Kluyveromyces lactis: one gene and its partners. The protein of the gene in region 2 interacts with the protein of the main gene of each other region in a pairwise test. Links are inferred from orthologs where the notes say so. Each region holds a gene or a part of one and is shown on either strand. Other genes may lie near its edges. The genes, in order: SOP4, PDR12 and YOR1.

Region 1 (2,563 bases), about 180 kb from region 2:
ATTCTGTTACAGGCTGAAAGAGTCGTGCAAGCACTTTTACAAACGTAAGCTTCCTGCTTTGACTGTAAGGAAAAATACCTGAGATTCTGTGGTGAAACACCTACTCAACTTGGGTACTTCCTCCTTCTTGTCGTTGCATCATCACTAAAATACTGTTTGAGATAGCACTATTGAGATTGAAGAAAGTGTTAACGTTACAATCCATTACAGATAACTAACATCGACACGACTCCGCAAAATCACACACGAATACACTTATCAGAGTAATCCATACTTTTTCCAATGGTTTTTATCCATCCTTTCTTGAAGAACAACTAAAGGGTTTTAAACGGGATACCACCCCTCGCACGTACCGTTAGCCATTCTTGATATGTTTTTCTGGTCTCTGAGGTCTAAGCTTAAACAATAATAAAGTTAATGTTGATATATCCAAGCTTATACATGTAATAAATGATAAATTCATTAAAATCATTGACAATTTGTTACTATGAAAAATTGAAGCTGACCTTTGGATATTGAAACCTACGATCTGGCAAAAATGTGTCTGCCATTCATTTTCCACATTCTATCTTGACAAATTAGGAAATTCTTAACATAAATGAAATTCGAAAAGTAATGAAAGCCATCCCTCTTCAACAATGTCTGGGTGTTTCAGAAATTAGACAGTCCCGAAATTACTGTAGAACTCCACGGTTGTTAGATTGGCGAACCTATGTCAACAAGAGAGAAAGAGAAAACTATACGGCGCAAGTTTCTGTATATATCATCTATTGAACGTTTACTAGATGGATAAGGAGGGAATGAGATGTCGGGCTGTATGCATATGAGTAATTGGTCCTAGACGAACAATGTTGGAAACATCTTTCGCAGTATAGATCACTCCATTAAACATTGACAGCCATTTTCAAACTGAAAGCTTTAATCTCGAACCAGGTTGTAGAGAAGATATTGTCTGGAGAGTCACAAATCCACTACAATAATACCTGTTCTGAGGAATGTACGCTTTCTTATGACCTGATCAAAACGGACGTATCTCAACTTACTGTATAGTATTGTTTATAATAATGCATCTTATTCTCATCTTTTATACTAAATTTTCTTGAACGAACAAAATGAAAAAGTTCAAAAGTCAGATAAATCCGGGTAATAATATTAGTAACTATTCTTTCTTCTGGAAATGAATCTCGAATGGTAACTAAGACGCATAAAGAAGTTAATGATAACGGTAAAAACACTATACTCTGAGACTGAACTAACGTATGGCAATTAGTTTACTCCTCCAAAGAATCGGGGATGAATTTTGTACTTTTTTGCTTTCTAGTTTGGCAGTTCGTAAACCCAGGTGCTGCATTCGATATTAAGGGCAGACTAGATTTGAAAGTTAGGAACGTTTCGAGACATGATATATCGAGAACCTATTTTAACCTGTACAGGATACGGAATCCCAATGATGACTCGGAATGGGATTCATATTCACAGTCATCAAAATTGGAGAATATCAATGGTGAATTCACCTTCAGCGATGTTCCCATTGACACTGGTATCAATAGGACGACATACTTCACATTACATTCGCATTCCAATGAATTCAATTTGAAACCCAACAGAATACTGATACAAATTGTAGGTAACGGGCAAGATCAGGAACCTAACCTCAGCGCCTTTGAGAACAGATTTGGCAGAGAGTATTTCCCATCTCCAGATATTACATATCCCGAAACTTTGAATCCATTACCCTTGGATTCTGCAAACCGTTTAACAATAACAACGATGAACAAACAACCATACAGAAAATATATAAAGATAAGAAATCCTGGAATCCTCGAGAGTGGTCCCATTGCCAGTGTTTTAAGATCAAAATTCAAGCTAGCAGGCGTCGTGACAGTGATATTTTTAGTTTTGTTCCCTATTTTGTTGGAGAAGTTCGATCCTGAGACTGCTAAAGCTATGAGACAAGAGAAGATGCATAGAGAGAACGCAAAATATGTTTCAAAATAGCTTTTTCGTTGAATGGTGTATGTATTACACTTGTATAAGTTACGAATATCTTGCAAATCTTATTCATCTTTTGCACACTTTCCTAGTTTTTGTACTTTATCTATGAAAAAAATAAACAGCTAAGAAATTAGGGAAACAGCTTGAGAAACAAACGAACAAACACTTATCATAGTAAGGGCGAAAAAAACCCAAAATACGTTCACTCACTTATAGATTAGTTGAATTTCTGCTAAGAAAATATTATACTAGGGAATGACGTTTGTAATATAATGATCCAGGAGTACGTTACATTATTAGCTCAGGTGCTTAACTTGGTTCCAGAGGATGATTCTGATCTGATATCTATTTTATGTGATATTTGCAATTCTTACGAAAATACAGCCTCTAAAGATGAGCTATATACATACACAACGTTTGAAATAAGCCAGAGGTTTAATAACATCGAGCCAACGGAATTGAATTTTGTATATGATGACACATCGAAGTGGGAGAAGCTTTTATCTCATCAGTCATCGGAATTGAGCTACATTATCGCTTTGCATATAGTATTATGTCTCATTGAGAA
Region 2 (2,432 bases):
CTTAATGTGTTGGCCCAAAGAATCAGTGTCGGTGTTATTACTGGTGATATGTTGGTGAACGCCAAGGATCTACCTTTATCCTTCAACAGATCCTGTGGTTACGTTGCTCAATCTGATAACCATATGGGTGAATTGTCCGTGAGAGAATCATTGAGATTCGCTGCTGAATTGAGACAACCAAAATCTGTTCCACTACAAGAAAAGTATGATTACGTCGAAAAGATCATCTCTTTGTTGGGTATGGAAAAGTATGCTGAAGCTATCATTGGTAAGACCGGTAGAGGTTTGAATGTCGAACAAAGAAAGAAGTTATCTATTGGTGTTGAATTGGTCGCTAAACCATCATTGCTATTGTTTTTGGATGAACCAACCTCCGGTCTAGATTCTCAATCTGCTTGGTCTATTGTTCAATTCATGAGAGCTTTGGCTGATTCTGGTCAATCTATTTTGTGTACTATCCATCAACCTTCTGCTACCTTATTCGAACAATTCGATAGATTATTATTATTGAAGAAGGGTGGTAAGATGGTGTACTTTGGTGACATCGGTGAAAATTCCGGTACTTTGCTAAACTACTTCGAGCGTCAATCTGGTGTTAAGTGTGGTATCTCTGAAAATCCTGCTGAATATATGTTAAACTGTATCGGTGCTGGTGCAACTGCCTCTGCCTCAGAGGACTGGCATGATCTATGGCTAAAATCTCCTGAGTGTGCAGCTGCCAGAGAAGAAGTCGAAGAATTGCATAGAAAGTTGGCTTCTAGACCTGTTACTGATGACAAGGAATTATCTGGTAAGTATGCTGCTAACTACTTGACTCAATTGAAATGTGTTTTCGGAAGAACTTGGCTTCAATTCTGGAGATCTCCAGTCTACATTAGAGCCAAATTCTTGGAATGTGTCCTGTGTGCTTTGTTCGTTGGTTTGTCTTACGTTGGTGTTAACCACTCGATTGCCGGTGCCAATCAATCGTTTGCATCTATTTTCATGATGTTATTGATTGCCTTAGCTATGGTTAACCAATTGCATGTGTTTGCCTTGGATTCTAGAGAATTGTACGAAGTCAGAGAAGCTGCTTCGAACACTTTCCATTGGTCTGCATTGTTGTTATGTCACTGTACCGTCGAAATCATCTGGTCCACCGCCTGTGAATTTATCTGTTGGATTTGTTACTATTGGCCAGCACAATACACTGGTCGTGCTTCCCATGCTGGTTACTTCTTCTTGATTTACGTTATCATGTTCCCTGCATACTTTATCTCTTACGGTTGTTGGGTGTTCTATATGTCTCCAGATGTGCCATCTGCTTCTATGATCAACTCCAACTTGTTCGCTGCCATGTTGTTATTCTGTGGTATCTTGCAACCAAGAGAAAAGATGCCTGGTTTTTGGAAGAGATTCATGTACAACGTGTCTCCATTCACTTATGTTGTCCAATCGTTAGTCGCACCAATTGTTCAAGGTAAAAAGGTCGTCTGTGGCAGGAATGAATTCGCCGTTATGGATCCACCAGAAGGTCAAACATGTGGTGAATACTTGTCAACTTACATCGAAGATAACACTGGTTACTTGACCAATCCAAATGACACACAAAGCTGTCAGTACTGTCCATACAGCTACCAACAAGAAGTTGTTGCAAGATTTAATGTCAAATGGGTCTATAGGTGGAGAAATTTCGGTTTCCTATGGGCATATATTATCTTCAACTTCTTCGCAATGTTGTTCTGCTACTGGGTTATGAGAGTGAAGAACTACTCCGTTACTAGTATTTTCAAGATCTTCAAGATCGGTACTTGGAAGAATGCTATTAAACCAAAGGACAGACACGAAAAGGACACAACTATTTTCCAAGAAAAACCAGGAGATGCTGAAAATGTCAATAGAACCAAGAATTAATCCTTACCTACCCAGTAACTCCGCTATAGAAAACCTATTTTATTTCTACAATCTTTTTATTCATTTATCGTCTTTATAAATATTTAAGAATCTTTTACACTTTATTCAATATTCATTCTACATAATTGCCTTAAAACCTTAAATGAGCATTTTGAGAAACTACATATCAAAATGTCGTATCATGATTTTTTAAGAAACTTCAAGAAGATACACGCTACTTTGAAATGATGTCCACAGGGTATCTTTCAGGTACTTAAAGAACACTGGGAAGAGTGTTAAAGCCGTAATTAGGGTCTGCTTTTTTTAACAATAAGAAAGTTCTGTCTCCACAATAAATTTGCTTTAGAGCGGAATAACCAGTTGTTGAAACTGCTTGAGCGGTAACATTGCGCCTGCTGCCAGGGTTCAAGGAAGAAAGCTCAAATTATGATAAGGCGATTTTTACGGTTGTACTCTATTAAAAGAAACACGCATTTGATATTAGAGGACCTTCAATCTATAAAATTCAATAAAGATGATCTGAAGGCTATTGATTCTGC
Region 3 (2,240 bases), on a different chromosome or scaffold from region 2:
GTTTACTCAGTTCATCAGTATCGGTTTACTGGGTACATATGCCTCTAAGCATTTGAACATCAAGGCTCTACAACGTTTATTGCATGCTCCAATGAGCTTCATGGATGTCACTCCAATTGGTAGAGTTATGAACAGGTTCACTAAAGATACGGACACCTTAGACAACGAAATTACAGAGTCAGTCCGTTTATTGATTTTCCAGATCGCAAATCTCACTGGTATTATCATTTTGTGTATCATCTACATTCCTTGGTTTGCCATTGCCATGCCATTCTTAGTTTTCCTATATGTTTTCGTGGCTGATCACTATCAAGCGAGCGGTCGTGAAATCAAACGTATGGATGCTGTTCAGAGATCTTTTGTTTACAATAACTTCAACGAAGTTCTCGGAGGTATGGACACTATTAAAGCATACCGTAGCGAGCAACGATTTTTAATGAAATCCGATTTCTTAATCAACAAAATGAATGAAGCAGGATACTTGGTTACTAGTATTCAGAGATGGGTGGCGATCAGTCTAGACATGTTGGCTGTTATATTTGCTTTGATCATTGCATTACTTTGTGTTACTCGTCAGTTCCATGTCAGTGCAGGTTCGGTTGGTGTTATGGTAACTTACGTCTTGCAGTTGCCAGGTTTGTTGAATGCACTACTTCGTTCTCAAACTCAAACTGAAAATGACTTGAACAGTGCAGAGAGATTAGTAAACTATGCTTATGATTTGCCTATTGAAGCCAAATACAGAATATTAGAAACCCAGCCACCTGAACAGTGGCCATCTGAAGGTCGTATCAAATTTGAAAACGTTTCCTTGGCTTATAGACCTGAATTACCTGTGGCACTAAAAAATGTATCTATAGACATTGGCTCAAACGAAAAGATCGGTATTTGCGGTAGAACTGGTGCAGGTAAGTCTACCATTATGAGTGCGCTCTACCGACTAGTGGAATTAAAGACAGGTAAAATCACCATCGATGACATTGATATCAGCACTCTTGGTTTATATGAGCTTAGAAGCAAACTTGCAATCATTCCTCAAGATCCAGTTCTTTTCAAGGGTGATATTCGTAGAAATTTGGATCCATTCCAAGAGTGTACGGACGAACAACTTTGGGATGCATTGGTACGTGGGGGTGCTATCGACAGAAAAGACGTAGATTCCATCAGAGCGCAGCACAAAGATGCTAATGGACTTTCTGGTGATATGTTCAAATTCCATTTAGATCAGATGGTGGAGGATGATGGTTCCAACTTCTCCTTAGGCGAACGCCAATTATTGGCTTTGACCAGAGCCCTTGTGAGGGGATCAAAGATTTTAATTTTAGATGAGGCGACGTCATCTGTGGACTATGCAACGGATGCCAAAATTCAATCTCGTATTGTGGAAGAATTCTCCAACTGTACTATTTTATGTATTGCCCACCGTTTGAAGACTATCTTGGCTTACAACAGAATTCTTGTTTTAGATCAAGGGCAAGTCGTTGAGTTCGACACTCCTAAAAAATTGTACAATGACCGTGACTCTATATTCAATGAAATGTGTCGCGGTGCTGGTATTGTTCCTGCAGACTTCGAAAACTCAAAGTAATCTCCTGTATATATCATTATTTCTTTTGCATTACATTTTGTTGTTTGGTTTGGTGTGAACAGCATGTTTTCCAAAGACTTGCATTAGCATATATTTTCGGTAAGCAATGACTGCTTTCTATATATTTAATGAGCCTAAAATTTCTATCAGCCACAACGATCATTCATAGTTTAAAATCAATAATAAAACTTTACAAAACCATCAATCTTCTTTACCGTACTCCTAACATTCGAATAGTATTCCCTGTGTCTACGGCATACTATGTATTTTTCTTCTCTTCCGCACTTCCACTTATTCACCGTAGTGCACGTTTGTATAAGTATGGGAAATATTTAAAGGAAGAAATCTAATCAGAATTGAATTTGTCTATATTCTTGTTGCACATATTGAAATATCGCATACGAAAGTGCATGGAGACTTACTCATCACGTCGATACCTATCTAATCGAATGTCATTTGTCAGGTCTACGACTTCCAAATTTAAATTCGGTGCTCATGTCAGCGGTGCTGGTGGTATATCCAACAGCGTTACCAATGCCCATGAAATTGGCTGTAATTCGTTTGCAATGTTCTTGAAGTCGCCAAGACAATGGAATTCTAAACCGTATCCCGAATCAGAAATCACCAAGTTCAATGAGAACTGTGCAAAACT

Evidence for each region.
Region 1: the proteins of PDR12 (region 2) and SOP4 interact in a protein complementation assay, tested with the Saccharomyces cerevisiae proteins (2 studies listed by BioGRID). The link is inferred for Kluyveromyces lactis from reciprocal best matches to the Saccharomyces cerevisiae genes PDR12 and SOP4.
Region 3: the proteins of PDR12 (region 2) and YOR1 interact in a protein complementation assay, tested with the Saccharomyces cerevisiae proteins (2 studies listed by BioGRID). The link is inferred for Kluyveromyces lactis from reciprocal best matches to the Saccharomyces cerevisiae genes PDR12 and YOR1.

The regions. Positions count from the first base shown.
Region 1 is NC_006038.1:665,596-668,158, forward strand, and holds SOP4 (Sop4p), read left to right. Parts: upstream 1-1,293; coding exon 1,294-1,998; downstream 1,999-2,563. Other genes in the region: KLLA0_B07623g (40S ribosomal protein uS11), read right to left, coding at 354-363; BPH1 (Bph1p), read left to right, coding at 2,268-2,563. UniProt on the Saccharomyces cerevisiae protein: Involved in the export of PMA1, possibly through the monitoring or assisting of PMA1 folding and acquisition of competence to enter vesicles.
Region 2 is NC_006038.1:841,706-844,137, reverse strand, and holds the end of PDR12 (ATP-binding cassette multidrug transporter PDR12), read left to right. Parts: coding exon 1-1,893; downstream 1,894-2,432. Other genes in the region: EXO5 (Exo5p), read left to right, coding at 2,320-2,432. UniProt on the Saccharomyces cerevisiae protein: Plasma membrane transporter which mediates resistance to water-soluble, monocarboxylic acids with chain lengths of from C1 to C7 by active extrusion of the preservative anions from the cytosol.
Region 3 is NC_006039.1:1,237,375-1,239,614, forward strand, and holds the end of YOR1 (ATP-binding cassette transporter YOR1), read left to right. Parts: coding exon 1-1,588; downstream 1,589-2,240. Other genes in the region: DNA-(apurinic or apyrimidinic site) lyase APN1, read left to right, coding at 1,999-2,240. UniProt on the Saccharomyces cerevisiae protein: Functions as a pleiotropic drug pump at the plasma membrane to clear toxic substances from the cytosol. Organic anion transporter involved in the detoxification of a wide range of toxic environmental organic anions that contain carboxyl groups.